Mus musculus: one gene and its partners. The protein of the gene in region 1 interacts with the protein of each later gene in a pairwise test. Links are inferred from orthologs where the notes say so. Each region holds a gene or a part of one and is shown on either strand. Other genes may lie near its edges.

Region 1 (8,908 bases):
CACTAGGGATGGGCTTTGGAGGTCTCAGATACTCAAGCCAGGCCTGATGTCACTCTGTTTTCCTAATGCCTGCTGATCCACATGTAGAACTCTCAGCTCCATCTCCAGCACCATGTCTGCCTGTAGGCTGCCATGCGTATGTGCTCCCATGATAATGGATTAAACCTCTGAATCTGTAATCCAGTCCCAATTCAATGATTTCCTTCACAAGAGTTGCCATGGTCATGGTGTCTCTTCAGAGCAATAAAATACTAAGATGTCACTATTAGTTTTCTTTGTGTGTATGTGTGGTGAGTGGCATTTGAGATGTGACCTCATTCCTCATTCTGTAGCTCCTGCCCAATGGTCCTTCTGCCTCAGTCTCCCCAGTGCTCCTATGAGCCACTATGTGGGACTCCTGTTTTTCATTGCTTGAGATTTTTTTTTAAGTATAGATGGGAGGAGAGTTAAGAGGGTAGTAGAAACACACACACACACACACACACACACAGAGCTGGGGGTGGTGGTGGTGGTGGAGAGAAGTAGAGGCAGGCCATGAGTGAGTGGCAGGGGCAGGAGGGGGGCGGGAGGGAATGGGGGAAAGTTGGGAAGGAGCGAGAGGACAGACAGCAAGAAGGCAACAGTGAGAGCGAGAATTTTAATTTTAGTTCAGTATTCATGTGCACTGTCCCCTGTGTCTGTGTGTCTGTTTTTATTTCTTCCAGATTTTTCCATTTGCTGGCAGTGAGGGAACAGAGACACAGCCACACTGTTGTTATCATGTGCAGCCTGAGGAGACACCTGATCTTTCTGGACTTGGCTACAGACTACAGAGTGTTCGCGACTTGGATGAGGAAAGAATTTTGTGAGGGGCCTATAAATGAATTATTCCTCTTTAAAAGAGGTTATTTATTTATCTTATGTATGTGCATACACTGTCACTGTCTTCAGGCACACCAGAAGAGGGCATCAGGTCTCATTACAGATGGTTGTGAGCTACCATGTGGTTGCTGAGATTTGAACTCAGGACCTCAGGAAGAGCAGTTAGTGCTCTTAATCACTGAGCCATCTCTCCAGCCCAAATTATTCTTTATATAAATGTTAGTAACGAATTAACCCAGTGGCTGTATTTCTTTACTTTATACATTCCTCAATAATCACATAGAAAAAACCATTTATTTAAAACTCCACTTCAGTATCTGAGCAGTTCAATCATCTGCCTTAGTTGTCTCTGCTAACTCGGCTGCCTCCCAGGCCAGCCCACAGTACTGGCATGTTGCTATTGCTCTGGCTCTTAGGGCTTCAGGTGTGCCTCCATGATCTCGCTCCTGACCCCTTCCTTCACCGCTCTAAATCTCCCATCCTCCTCACTGATCTGAATCTCCTTCTCTCCTCTCCTTCCTCTGGCTGGCCGATGTCCCACCCTATTTTCTCTTCTGCCCAGCCATTGGGTGATCAGCATTTATTGACAAGGCAGAGAATAGATGGGAAGAACTGTTTACACAAACTTGAGACAGGATATTCTTGGTATAAGCATTACAATGCCCTGTCCCAAGATTGAAACAAGATAAGAGAGCAGAGATCAGCATTTGAGTAACACAAGAGTAAAGTTTATATAATGCACAAGAACACTAGTGGCCAGTTCCTGAAGCAGAGTTTGCCAAGGTGATTTGAGATAGGCCATCATGGGGCAAGGGGGAGAGGGAGTCAAAACCGAAGCAGGCCACACGGATACACAGTCAAAAGCAGAGAGACAAACGCAGTGTCTTTCCCAGCCTGTTTTCCTTCAGCATCTCTTTTCCTGGGGATGGTGCCACCCACAATGGGCGGGGCCTTCTCATGTCACTTATGTTTGGTTTTTTGTTTTTTGTTTTTTGTTTTCCCCTGAGACAGGGTTTCGATGTATAGCCCTGGCTGTCCTGGAACTCACTTTGTAGACCAGGCTGGCCTTGAACTCAGAAGTCCTTGTGCCTCTGCCTCCCAAACGCTGGGATTAAAGGTGTGCCACCAAGCCTGGTGTCACTTATGTTTAATCAAGGTCACCCCCACAAGCAGACCAACTTCATCTAGGCACTTCATGGAGACTCTTGCTAAGCGATTCTCGGTTGTGTCAATTCGATAGTTAAAACTAATCTGATGAGATAAAGATCAGAAATCACAGGTTGTAAGAGGGTTTCATTATGTCAGTACCCTTTCCCTGTAAAGGGAATTTTTGGCAAGATTTCTAGAAAACAGTATGTTTTCACCCTGGAAAGAAGAAAAGTCTTAAAGAGTTGGTAATTGCCCTGGAATTCTCTGATAGAGAATGGCATCAGTTCCTGTGAAGGTGGCAACATCTTCTCTCCTCTCACGTCCCTCACAGCTTTTCTATCCTGACTTATTGCACACCTCACATCCCTAACCAACCCAGGACACTAAGTTTGGTAATTATAACTACGCCATGTCAAAGGTGGGGTGTGTGCAGAGGATTGGCAGGATCACAGCATATCATATCAGCACTTGGACACTGATGCAGGGGGATGGACAGAGTTCTTGCTTTTCTTTTCTGCTTCCAAGACAGGGTTTCTCTGTGTGGCCCTGGCTGTCCTGGAACTCACAGAGATCCTCCTGCCTCTGCCTACTGAGCGCTGGGATTACAGGCCTGTGCCACCATGGCCCACCTGGAATTCCATAAATTTAAGGTCAACCTGAGCTACATAGTAAGACATGGTAAAATGAAAATAGGAGAGATAGTTCAATGGTTAAGAGTACATATTGCAAACTGGGTAGTGCAGTTTTAGCCCAACCTTGCCTACGGTATGAGACCCTGTCTCAAAGAAAATAAAAAAAGTAGAGTACATACAGCTTTTGCAGAGGGCCTGAATTGCACTGCACCCAACTCTAGCCTTGGGGATTCCATGCCCTCTTCTGATTTTTATAGGCACTGTATTCCCATGCAGACACCCACACATAGACATCCACATAATTCAAAAGTAAAGATAAGTTGGTTTTATTTATTTTTATTTATTAATTTTTTTTTTGGTTTTTCGAGACAGGGTTTCTCTGTATAGCCCTGGCTGTCCTGGAACTCACTTTGTAGAGCAGGCTGGCCTGGAACTCAGAAATCTGCCTGCCTCTGGCTCCCGAGTGCTGGGATTAAAGGCGTGCGCTACCACGCCCGACCTGTTTTTATTTTTATTTTTATTTTTTTATTTATTTTTGGTTTTTTGAGACAGGGTTTCTCTGTGTAGCCCTGGCTGTCCTGGAACTCGCTCTGTAGACCAGGCTGGCCTCGAACTCATCCCGAGTGCTGGGATTAAAGGCGTGGGCCACCACGCCCGGCTCCTGTTTTTATTTTTTGAGACAGGTTTTTCTGTGTAGCTTTGGCTATCCTTTGTAGACAAGGCTTGCCTCAAACTCACCGCGATTCCCCCGCCTCTCCAGTGCTGAGATTAAAGGCGAGCACCACCACTGTCTGGCTGCTAATCTTTGTTTTTCTTTTAGGCATCAGAAAGAAGTTGGGGTGTGCAAAAGATAAGTTTGTAAATAGGTTTTAAATATAAAAATAAGTGAAGTAGATTGTTTAGTGGTTAATCACACTTACTGCTTTCACAGAAAGTGGGATATGCCAGTTTCCAAGATGGGCGAAGTGGATGAAGAGTTCCGGGCCAGGCTGGGCTCGTAGTATTGTCATTTTAAAAAAAGGAAAAAGAAAAAAAAAATTACGAAAACAGGGGGCTGGTGAGATGGCTCAGCAGGTAAGAGCACTGACTGCTCTTCCAAAGGTCCTGAGTTCAAATCCCAGCAACCACATGGTGGCTCACAACCATCCACAATGAGATCCGATGCCCTCTTCTGGTGTGTCTGAAGACAGCTACAGTGTACCTACATATAAAAATAAATAAATCTTTAAAAAAAAAAATTACGAAAACAGAACCAAAAACTTCATAGCATCAGTTAGTGGCTTTGATTCAGATTTGTCTTGCTGAAAGCAGCTAGATCACGTGACAGACTCCATACCACGTGGTCTGCCTTGGTGCCTCAGGGGTCCGCCGCCGCCCCACCGTGCTTTAGGCCTGACCCGCTTGGTGACTGTCAGACTAACTTCCGGTTTTCCTGATGCCTCCAGAGGGCAGTTTCCATAACAACCAGCTTGTGACCCCCCTCTTCGCGTGACGTCACTTCTGTTTTAGAGCGAAGGGTGCACTTGAGCGCATGCGCAAAAGGAAACCTACACAGGAAATGGTTTTTTTCTGCGCAGGCGTCTTGGTCCTGAGGGCGGAGCTTGGCTGCGCCGCGGTGCGCAGGCGCAGCCGTCGGTGGGTCGGGTCTTCGGTCGACTGAGAGGTGAGGCTGGGGGCTCCGCCGTGCCCCGTATGGGCGTCGGGGGTCTGTGGGTTTAGCTTCGCTGTGCTCGGGAGCCCCTGGGACAAAGGTGGCTTGTGATCCGGACTTCTGCTCTCTTCGGGGTCACGTGAGCGGGCGGCGCAGAGAGGAAACTGAGGCAGACAGCGTCCCAACCCACCCCCACCCCTCGTCGCTTTTTCTCACGAAAAGGTCAGCGTTTAGGTGTGTGTGGGGCGGATCTCAGTTTTCTCGGGGCCCCTAAGGTCTAAGACCCTCTTACATTGCCATTCCTCACCCTGGTGACCTTGCTTAGCCTGTTGCCTGCCCACAGCCTCAGTTTTCCTCTTCTGTACAATGGACGTTGTCACCATTGTCTGAGCAGTTGTGGGTGCTCCTTCCCATTGGGAGGGTGTGTTTGATTTTGGTGCCAAAGGTAGGTAGTGTGTGGGTTTGAAGGGCAGAGGGCCAGCTGTGCATGCTAGGGCAAATAGCTTGACCTCTCTGAGGAGGAGTTTTCTTAAAACAATGGTAAGGCAGGTGTGCTGACACATGGGCAGAGGCAGGAGTATCGTGGGACTTCCATGCTAGCAAGGACTACATACTTTGTCTCAGAAAACGAAACAACCAAAAGCAAAGACTCGAGCAAATAGTCTAGAACTTTGGTCCACAACCTATAATCCAGTCTTTCAATTGAGAGGGGGAGACAGCTGGATCGCGGGGAGTGAGTTCAGGCCCAGCCTTGGATACCTAACACGGTGGAGGTAGCTGGACCACAACGTGAGACCCTGTCTGAAAATGAAATCGACATAATTAATAGTTTGTTTGTTTTGAGACAAAGTCTTTATCTGTCTCTGGCTGTCCTGGAACTCACTATGTGAGCCAGGCTGGCCTCAGCGCCACCTCTGCCAGGACTGTAGGTGCCACCACCTCATCTGGCATCATAATTAACGTAAAAAGGATGTCAGTCTGGGCCCGTTTAGTTGTAAGCTGGGCTTGCTGGCTGTCATCCCAGCTTGTAGGAGGCTGAATCGGGAGGATGGAAGTGAAGTTCAAGGCTATGTTGGGCTACATGGTGAAATCCTCTTGTCTCAAAAGCCAGGTTGTAGTGGTGTCCGACTTTGATCCCAGCACTCAGGAGGCAGAGGCAGGAGGAGCTCTCAGAGTTCGAGGCCAGCCTCTGGTCTACAGAATGAGTTCCAGGACAGCCAGGTTGCAGAGTGAGACCCTGTCCTGAAAAACCAAAACCAAAAATGAAATGTTAGCAACAACAAAAACAAAGAAAGTCAGTTGAAATTGTTATGTCTCTGTGTCTGTCACCTGGACATTAATTGTCCTAAGGTCCATTAGCAGAGGTCTGTTAGCCTCTGTGGTGGCTGGTGAAGGCACACGTTCCCCACCAGTTGATTGAGATGACTTTCCTGTTTTGTCCCTCTGTGGTCATTTATTTGATCAGTCTTTCCTTTTATTGGTCATTCTCATCCACAGGGACAGTGTATGGGGATGTTTGTGATCGGTGTGACTGAAGGGGCTTCTGATGTGACACTGACACTGGGTGGGGGTCAGGAACATTGCCCACAGAACAGTGCTTCTGTTGGGGAAACAACTCAGTGAGCAACATGCTTGGCATGAGGGTCTGAGTTCAATTCCCTGTGGATTCCCCATGGAAAAAGCTGGGTGAGAGTGCTGGGGGCACTTGTAATTTCAGTGTGTGTGTGGGGGAGCACAAGATAGGCAGATACCGGGCTCTCTGCATAGCCTGCCTAGTCCCAACATCAGCTCCGTGTCCCAGGGACAGACACTGCCTCTAAAACATGACATGCTGCCTGGAGGGAGTATACTCACTCTTGATCTACCTTTAGTTTCCACATGTGTATGGACACACACACACACACTACACACACGCACACTACACACACATACACATACTACATCACACATTCACTCACATATACACACACAGACACCTCACACATACACACACCACATACTCACATAGACACACATTCACATAGACACACACCACACACTCACATAGACACACACAAATACATGCGCGCGCGCGCGCACGCACGCACACAAACACACACACACACATTGATGCTACTGGTAGCCGATAATGAAGCATGCCTTTAATTCTAGCACTCCAGAGGCAGACATGGGCGGATTGCCTTAAGTTTGAGGCTAGCCAGCTGTGCATACTGGGCTCTGGTGTTAAAATGGAATCCGAGCCCAGTGGCTCCTCACCGCTGAGGCCTCTGTATAGGTTGTATGGGTCCCGAGGTTGTGTGTGCATCCCATTTCTCGGGGTAAGGGATTGCCTACTGGATTAAGTACCTGGAGCCGCTGTCTGAGGTCCCAGCTGGTACTTCATGGCAGGGTGTTGGCACCACAATGAACCATACTCCAAGCCTTCTTGGTGTTTCGTTTTGAGACGGGGCCTCCTGCATCCCAGGGCTTCCTGTGTGCCGAGTGACACTCCACCCATTGGGACTTGGCCCAGGCAGCTACACTGGAGTCCTCAGCACAGAGTTGGACTCTGTGGCCGAGCCCGGCACTTGCCACACTGACCTCCAGAGAAGTTGAGAGGTTGGAGGGAACAGGCAGAGCCAGTCTGCAGCCCAGGCCACCTTTATACTGGTGGCAGTCCTCCTGCTTCGGCCTCCCACGTGCTGGGTGGCAGCTGATGCTCGGGTCTGGCTGGGCTTGGAGGGTGCTGTCTAGAGCGTGCCCTGAAGTGATCCTGCACTCCTGAGTGTGTATCTAGGAAGTTCTGGTCGTACCGAGGATTTAGGCCAAGGGTTTATCATAGTGCTTCCTGGCAGAGAGTGTGACTCCCATCTGTCACCTCCAGCCCACGTCACATACCTGCCACCCTGTGAGCAAGAGTCTCTGTGGGAATCAGCCCTATATCTTTCTGTTTGACGCAGGGGCTCATGTACTCCAGGCTGCCCTCCAACTCTGTAGCTGAGGTTAGTTAGCCCTGGACTCCTAGTCCTCCCGAGTGCTGGGATGACAAGTGTGTAGGCATGCTCTGCTTCTATATGTTTATTTTTGTTTTGTTTTAAGATTTATTCTTGATTTTGTATGTGCGTGAGAGCGAGTGCATGCATGTGCACATAGAGCCTATGGAGGCCAGAAGAGGGTGTGGGTCCTCTGGAACTGGAGTTCAGGTGGCTATGAGTAGCTCATCTAGGTGCTGAGAACTGAACCCCGGCCCTCTGGCAAAGCAGCAGTGCTCCTAAGCAGTGAGCTGTCCCTACCACCTGCTCTGTTTTCTGAGACAAACTCAGTCTGCAGCCCAGGCTGGCTTTTAACTTCCAGCAGCATCCTTGAGTGCCTAAGCCTCAGCCCCTGCTCTGTTAGGTTTTTATAAGGAGGGGGGCTGTGTTTCCCAAGAGGCTTCTCATGGCTTAGAGGCCCACCTTCTCAGCTTGGCTCTGCCACCACTGTGCTGTGGATGGCAGCTGGGGCTCAGGCTCAGGAGGTGACTGTCCAGAATGCTCTGGGTTTCACAGACTGAGATGAGGCCTGAGGCTCTCTGAGGTTTGGGAGCAGGGTAGGGCTGGGGGTGGAGCCCTCAGGTTTTCAGTCTGCTGTGTGGGGAGGAGGCCAGCCTAAAACTTTGGGGTTTTGGAGTTCCCGCTCCCTCTGTCCCCATGCAGGTGCACGTGAGGGTCTGCCAAGGTCTTTGAGGGCTGTGTGCTGTGACATCTGCTTGCCTTGCAAGTGGATATGGACTGCGGTTTGGGGAGTTGCTGTGTATGGAAGGAGGCTGGGTGGGCCTAGACAGGCAAGGCGGGGCCTATAGGGTCTCTGGGGTGAAGCCCTTCATTTTGTGGTCTCACTTGTCTTTTTATCAACTTTGTCCTGGACAGGGGCCTAGGGAAGGACACTCGTGAGTTGTGACAGGCCTAGGGAAGGACACTCGTGAGCTGTGACAGGCCTAGGGAAGGACACCCGTGAGTTGTGACAGGCCTAGGGAAGGACACTCGTGAGCTGTGACAGGCCTAGGGAAGGACACTCGTGAGCTGTGACAGGCCTAGGGAAGGACACTCGTGAGCTGTGACAGGCCTAGGGAAGGACACTCGTGAGTTGTGACAGGCCTAGGGAAGGACACTCGTGAGCTGTGCTGGGTTGGGTTTGGACTTGCATAAGCTGGGATGGAACTTGATTTGTTGAACGGGCTAATCTCAGACTTTTTCAGCCTTTTCCCTTCAGGCAGGGCACCTCTGTCTCTGAAACTAGGTTGGTGGCCAGCAAAACCCAGCCATCCTCCTGTCTCCACTCATGCACCTGGCACGCAGGTTACTGATCTGTTCATACAGCCACAGCTAGCGTATAGGGTGGGTGCTGGGGGCCTGAGTCAGGGCCTTCCACCTGCCTAGCAGGGTCAGTTACCCACTTGGCCACCTCACCTGTCCCAGGGTTTGGGGTTTGATTGAGACAAGGACAGTAAATCTGAGGCTGGGTGGCCACACTATGTCAGAAAGAGTGGAAGGGGGAAAGAGGTGTGCAGACAGCTGTGAGGAGCTAAGTTTCCTCCTATATAGGGGAACTCTGGGACCCGGTCCTGTTGCCCCCTCACCCCTGTGCCCCACAGACC
Region 2 (3,500 bases), on another chromosome or scaffold:
TCAGACTAGATCAGAACTTCGAGAGAGTCTGATCCCATGGTTTAGTTTTCTTACACATTTAGACACAGTCAAACTTCAGGGAAGGCTACATTGAAATTCTGTTGCAAATTCTGTGATCTTTACAGTAAGAATGAACTCTATTGGCTGATAAGCAGTGCTCAGGGCTAGGGCCTAGTGGGGAAGGATGTGGGATTTGTTTGTTTGTTTGTTTGTTTTGTCTTTTTAAATTGAAAATAGATTCTTCTTTCATACAACACCTCCCAAGGACAGTTTCCACTGCCTCTAGTCTACCAGGAGGGAAGCATGAATTTTCCTGGGAAGGGGAAATAGAATGCAAAGATATTTTGTAAAAATCTGATTTGCTAGGGGCTTCTTTAAAATGTTTGCCATGTTTGCTTAACATGGCAACCCTCACACTGCATAGAAAAATGGCTCTCCAAGCATTTGTATCAAGGGCTGTCTCCTTGATACTATGATGCTCCATGTGACTGTCCTACTACAGGCCACTGTCCTTGCTGCTGCCTTATAAGGTGCACCCAGGTTGTGGGGATACTAGCTCATGAAGTACCTTGGTTTAAAGAACAACAGGGCAAATGGACAGCTTCTCCAGGATGGCTTACAAATGGGCTCCCACCCACAGGAATGAGAGCCCTCTCCACCTTACAAGTGCAAATGACTAAGCCTGATTTTCCAGAGGCTAAGAATGGCATGTTTTACCTGAAGGCCAAATGGTCAACATTTTAAGGAGAATTTGGTCTGTTATCAGACAAAGCAATACTCCTACCTTTATTCTTGTCAGGTTTGTATCCCCCACCTTCCACGATGTCTTCAAGATCCTTGTCTGACCAACCTATGAAAGAAACCCCATACATTTCACTGGCAAAAAAAAATCTTTGCAGCAAATACTTGGATTAGTAAATGTTGTCCATGACATGTGGGTATTCTTCATGGTACCGGGATTCTGGTTCAGTGGTACAGCAGATAGAAGGCCCTGAGAACCAGGCCTTGTGCCCAAACTAAGGAGGGATTCGGGAAGAAGGAAGAGGAAGGGGAGGAGGAGGAGCAGGAAGATGAAAAAGGATGATGGTAGTAGGCAAAAATTCCAACTAGCCCCTCAGATTGCTCACTGCCAGCGTATGTGTTCTGCCGAACCTCCAATCACCTTGAGTGTGTGTGTGGTCCCAGAGAGAATGAATATGATCCTAGTGATTAAGCTCAAAGTGATTTTTGTCAAAGTAATTAAGGACCTCAATCAGCCAAGTGAACTCTTTCGAAGCTAGTTTAGGGCATGCCTAAGCTCAGACACTAGACGTTAAAGTCTCTTTTCTTTCTCTCGCTTCTCTTAAAAGAGCCACTCACTGCCTCTATAGCTGAAGAGAAAGATACTCTATCAACAACCACATGACCTTGTTTTGAAGAGAATCTAAGCTCAGATGAGACTCCATCCGAGTACCTTGATTGCAGCGGAGACTCTGACCCTATAGAAAACTCAGCTTCTTAAGTGAACGAAGGAAATCTTAACACATTTATATAAAAATAAATCTCCTCAACTTTCACATGATTTGTGAATCATAGATAATCAATACAAGAAGCAGAATCACCATTAAATAGTTCAACTATTAAGTACACATCTTTCTGAACATCCTAATGCTTTGTGTGCAAAATGTGCTTAAAGCCTTTCCACTGTATTCCAAAGTACTGAGGGTGATTTGCAAAGTCCCTTGGGTCACTGGACCTTTTCTTAGTTGGCTTTATCAGCTTTGTGTCATGAAACCACTTTTGTCAGGCAGAATGAATGCTGTACCGACTTGATTATTTGGGAAGCATTTCTTACAACTGAATGAAATGAGTCCATCAGTTGAGGACAGCCACCTATAGCACTTGTCAACAAGATTTCTACTGAAGCCTTTATAAGCTACCATGACTCTAATAGTATCCGACTAAATACTTTTGCCAGTAGTATTGATGGTGTTAGCAGCGAATTAGATTTTGTTTTTTTTTTTTTTTATTATAGTGTGTGGCATTACACTGACGTTTGATAAACCTTAAGCAAACACGGTTTTCCAAACAACTAACGTGCAATGTTACAAAACAACAAATAGGCACAAGTCCATTGAATGGGTACTGTAGTTCAAATCTGAAATGACCCTCATGCATTGGGACACTTGAGCCCTGTTTTTTGGAAATATGTCACTGGAAGCTGACATTTGAGCTCCGCTAGCCCACTTGCTGTCTCTGTGTCGTTGCTTCCTGGTGTGGCTACAATGTGAACAGCTGAGTCAGATTGGGGCCCCATCACTTCGGAAACGATAGGCTGGATGGATCCTTCCTCTTCCCGTTGCTTGCCAGTCATGTGCTCAGGGCAACCAGAAAAGGAATTAAAGGGGAACTGAGTAAGGTAAGGTTACTAAACATTTGTTAAAATGTATTTTTCATTCATGTTTGGGTTTTTTTGTTTTTTAATATGTTTTAATTAATTAATTTTTTACACTCCATATTTTATCCTCCCCGTCTCCACCCTCCAACTCTTCCATATCCCATCCTCCTCCCCACCCCCTTGTCTCCACGTGATGTAGCCCACCCCCCATGACACCTGTTTGTTTTAAAACCCTTTTAAATGTAATGGCATTTAAGTGTGTGTGTGTGTGTGTGTGTGTGTGTGTGTGTGCAGGAATGCATATGCCACAATACACATGTGTAGGTCAGAGGACAGCTTTCAAGCTACATATCTCAATATGAAAATCCAGGTATCTCCTAGGAAGATTGACATTCTAGAAATTTCTAAGAAATGTAAAATAATGCCACTCTCTCACTAAACTGTTTTTATCTTGCCACAAAAATTTCTCATACAATGTGCTATTTATATTAATATTATTATTTAGTATTAATCATTTTACACTAATAATACTGAATTTTTAAAAAAATATATACAGATGTTAAACTCGGATGGATATGATCCACATAGACAAAAGTTATTGAAATTCCCAATAATTTGGAGAATCCCAAGATCAAAATATATCAGTATTACTATTGTAGGGCTCTCCTACAGCTTGAAGTGGCCTGGATCTACAGTACTCTAGATGGCTCAGAATTCTATTACAGGTAATAGGACAGACCCTACCAGGAACTGTAGCACTGGCCTGTGATATCAAGCATCCAAGCATCTAGAACTTACCTCCTGCTTCTCCTGCACTTGGCTTTTTGGGACCATCTAGATCATTTCGATCATCCAAGGCATCTTCCAAGTCAAACCCATCTAGTTCTGGGGACCACAGAGCAAAAGAAACAATCACCATTGTGCTGGCTAGTTTTTATGTCAACTCAAGCTAATGTCATCTAAAAGGACGGGACCCTGTTTGAGAAAATGCTTCCATAAGCTCAGGCTGTCAGGCATTTTCTCAATTATCAACCATTGGGGAAGGACCCAGCCTATTGTAGGTGGTGCCATCCCTAGGCTGGTGGTCTTGGGTTCTATAAGGAATCAAGCTGAGCAAAACAGT
Region 3 (3,443 bases), on another chromosome or scaffold:
TGGCACTACAATATTTCTGAAAGTTCATATTTGGATGAAACTGAGAACGTTGGTTTTCAATTGAAACACACACACCACACACACACACACACACACACACACACACACACACACACACACAGAAGCACGCACACATTCTTACCTAAGAATTACTAGAATAGCTAGAAGACAGACACAAGGTTCTATTAGGGCAAGAAAGCCACACATTTACTGAGCAAAGATGATAGAAAACATAAACAATCAACTTCTAATTCCATTCAAGTTTCAAGCTTTTGCTCGCTCATATATTAATTAGTATATGTCATACTTAGGTGAGAATATTTCCTGAGGGAGCCTTGTAGGTTCTGGCTGCTGTCAACTCCCGGGTAATCTGTGTTCCTCTGACCATTAAAACCCTAAATGGCTTTAATTAAACTGGGCATGTCCATTGAAATGGTTATATTTTAGACATTACAAAATAATTTTGAGAAACTAATAAAGAATAATTGACACCACCAGACTCCTTACATTCGTTACAAGATTTATTCACACCAACAAAAAAAATAATCACAACAAAATATATGCTAATTATAAAACTAAAAGGGTATAGTGATATAGACTGTTACAGTTTCTCTTTTAATTCTGCTTGTTTCAGTAAATTTGCTTGTTTCTACATACATTTTATTCATAAAAGAATAACAATCATTAAAATGCAGTGGCCGTTTGCATTTCTTGTACAGGAAGAACAGAAGCAAAGTGCAGAAGCTTTTGGTTACAACGGTGTTTGCATGAAACAACAGACTAAGCTAAGAGCCCAAAATATTACCTCTCTTTCTCTACATACATATATCCACTGAACTGAGAAATGAGCAGTTAGTATTCCTGCTTAACCCTCACTAACACTTTTTCTTGTTTTTACTAAATGCAAAGTAAGGAACTGTGTTTTTGCCTCTTCTTTAGTTGACCTCAGAAGATGAACTCTCTAATTCATGAGAAATTCGGAATTTCAGATACCTATCATCTTCCTTACTCTTAGGGTCTAGGACTAGCTTGTCCTTGTGGCTGTGAAACTTGTGGCTCTGATGTTCCAGGCTGGCTTTGGAACTTGCTTGACTATCGATCACATCCGACTGATCGGCACTCTCCTGGCTCTCTTTGGAATGCTCAAGTCTGTGTGTTTCCAGACTTGGTTCATCCAGCTGACTTGACTCATGGCTGCCCTTTCCGTTGTTGTCCTGATCAGAGGGCATGCTCAGAAGCTGGGCAACAGGGATGACATCGAGGGACTCCTTAGACTCACCGCTCTTCATGTGAGAGGTGAGGTCCTCATCTGTGGCATCAGGATACTGAATCAAGAACAAATTGAAGAATTATATAAACAGACAGGAACAAGAGCATCATAATGCTTTGATCTCTAACTTTTAGGTCAAACTGTACTGAATATTTTTAAAATTTTGACTGAAGAAAAATAATATTAGTGTGTACTTTATATTTCACCAGTCAGCTTCATATCAATCATTTCTGGTTTAATAGGGATATCATCTTTGTGTGTGTTAAAACCTATAAGGTTCTATCTCTGATGAAAAGGCATTGAGCGTTAAAGTTAAACTGAACAGTAACGCCAAGGCTAAGTCTAAGCCGGACTAAGTTCATTGTAACAGTGACTTTACAATTCCTCTTACCCACTTAGCTTCCATTATATATGACTGTTTTCTATATATGGCCATTATTTTTAACATATAATTGCTATTTTCCAAAGTAGCTATTTAATAACATAAATTGCTCTTAAATATTGCTAAGACTTTGAATATGGAAAGATGACATTGTGTGCGATAGGTAAAATTAAAAAGACATCACACACACTTTTAAACAGGACCATTAAAAAAAAAAAGCTCTGTATTCAAAGGTCATACAGTAGATTTCATATAAATGTACAGTGCTTGATGAAGAGTGAGTGAATCTGCAGACTCTGGTTTCCTAGAAGTGAGATCAAGCCATAGCCCTTCAACATGTCTGTTCATCATTTACCTGTTCATCAGAAACCTGGAAACTCCTAGACTTTGACCTCAGTCCATAAGCCAAGCTATCACCTCGGCCGTTGGGGACATCGACTGTAGGGACGATTGGAGTGAAAGTGTCTGCTTGTGTACTAGCAGTGACGGTCTCATCAGACTCATCCGAATGGTGAGATTCGTCAGATTCATCCGAGTCCACAGAATCCTCGCTCTCTGCATGGTCTCCATCGTCATCATCATCGTCATCATCGTCGTCCATGTGGTCATGGCTTTCATTGGAATTGCTTGGAAGAGTCTAAATCACAAAGCAAGTTGGCTCAGTAAATTAGCGCTTGGGTTTTAGACTACAATAGCTTCGTTGAAACATTTTAATTGAATTTCAAAGTCTTTGTGTTTACATTACATTCTATGGTTTTAAGCTAATGAAATGGGCCTCTTGTTTGCTTTTTAACACACAAACAAATGAAATAACATTCTGAGGCACTTTTTTTGTCTTTTAAATAAAATATCACTTTCTTAGATATTTTCAAGTCAAACTTAAAAGTAAAACATTCATATTGATAACACATATTTCCTTGTAAATAGTATACATTATTAATTTACTAAATTCAAAAAATTGCTAGATTGAGTTTCTTTAATCTGAAACATAGTTCCCTAAGACATCAGATCATCTGTATATTAATATAAAGATCAAAATCTATAATTGCCTCCCTGTTGTCAAAGGTAGTTAAGAAATGGCTCTGTTATACATGGGTGTACAAACTGTAGCCAAAATCCATACAGTGAACTAGAGATTAAAATCTATTAATCTACAAATCTACAAAAGTTATGGTTCTTTTGATCTAGTTTTTCTTATCATAAATTGTCTCTATGTTAAATTTAATCTTGAGGGAAATTTTTATTTATTTAGTCAGCAAATAGGGAAAGAACACTTATTAAATAATCTTTAATATTATCAACATGAACACTTTAAAGTATCTTGGCTTGGCTAAGCATTGATGATATAGTCATCAAATATTAGTTAAAATACTGTAAACTTCTTTTCGTATTTTCATATTTTACAAGAGGCTTAAAGTTTCAAATAGCAGGCACGAGTAGGCACTTTCTGTAACACTAAACTTCTCTGAAGAGCCTGTGTATTTTGGTGATGAATGAACACAGAGCCCCTCTAAGCAAGTTTTTGAATGGAGATTTACTTGGATACTTTCTAAGGGACTGACAATCTGAAGAAAATGATGTGGTGGCTTCCTCGGTGTCTCTAAAAATAGGTCTCAGTGAATGTGAGAACTTACTTCTTGCTTAAAGTCATCCTTTTCTTCAGAGGACACAGCATTCTGAAAAAAGGAAGGTCACATATCAGTACACAACATACATGATCAGTTGCTTAATTCTAAAGTTACCCTTTTCATCCTAATGCAGGTGTCATGTTTCAGCCTGCCAGATGATACA

Evidence for each region.
Region 2: the proteins of Sgta (region 1) and Cd99l2 interact in binary tests that used the Homo sapiens proteins (3 or more experiments, as listed by UniProt). The two-hybrid records come from large-scale screens. The link is inferred for Mus musculus from reciprocal best matches to the Homo sapiens genes SGTA and CD99L2.
Region 3: the proteins of Sgta (region 1) and Spp1 interact in binary tests that used the Homo sapiens proteins (3 or more experiments, as listed by UniProt). The link is inferred for Mus musculus from reciprocal best matches to the Homo sapiens genes SGTA and SPP1.

Annotation. Positions count from the first base shown.
Region 1 is NC_000076.6:81,055,525-81,064,432, reverse strand, and holds the start of Sgta (small glutamine-rich tetratricopeptide repeat-containing protein alpha), read left to right. Parts: upstream 1-4,161; 5' UTR 4,162-4,305; exon of another isoform or gene 4,306-4,515; intron 4,516-8,908. UniProt on the Homo sapiens protein: Co-chaperone that binds misfolded and hydrophobic patches-containing client proteins in the cytosol. Mediates their targeting to the endoplasmic reticulum but also regulates their sorting to the proteasome when targeting fails.
Region 2 is NC_000086.7:71,437,350-71,440,849, forward strand, and holds part of Cd99l2 (CD99 antigen-like protein 2 isoform 1 precursor), read right to left. Parts: intron 3,263-3,500; coding exon 3,176-3,262; intron 851-3,175; coding exon 785-850; intron 1-784. UniProt on the Homo sapiens protein: Plays a role in a late step of leukocyte extravasation helping cells to overcome the endothelial basement membrane. Acts at the same site as, but independently of, PECAM1.
Region 3 is NC_000071.6:104,438,111-104,441,553, reverse strand, and holds the end of Spp1 (osteopontin isoform 4 precursor), read right to left. Parts: intron 3,329-3,443; coding exon 3,287-3,328; intron 2,290-3,286; coding exon 2,008-2,289; intron 1,326-2,007; coding exon 936-1,325; 3' UTR 501-935; downstream 1-500. UniProt on the Homo sapiens protein: Major non-collagenous bone protein that binds tightly to hydroxyapatite. Appears to form an integral part of the mineralized matrix. Probably important to cell-matrix interaction.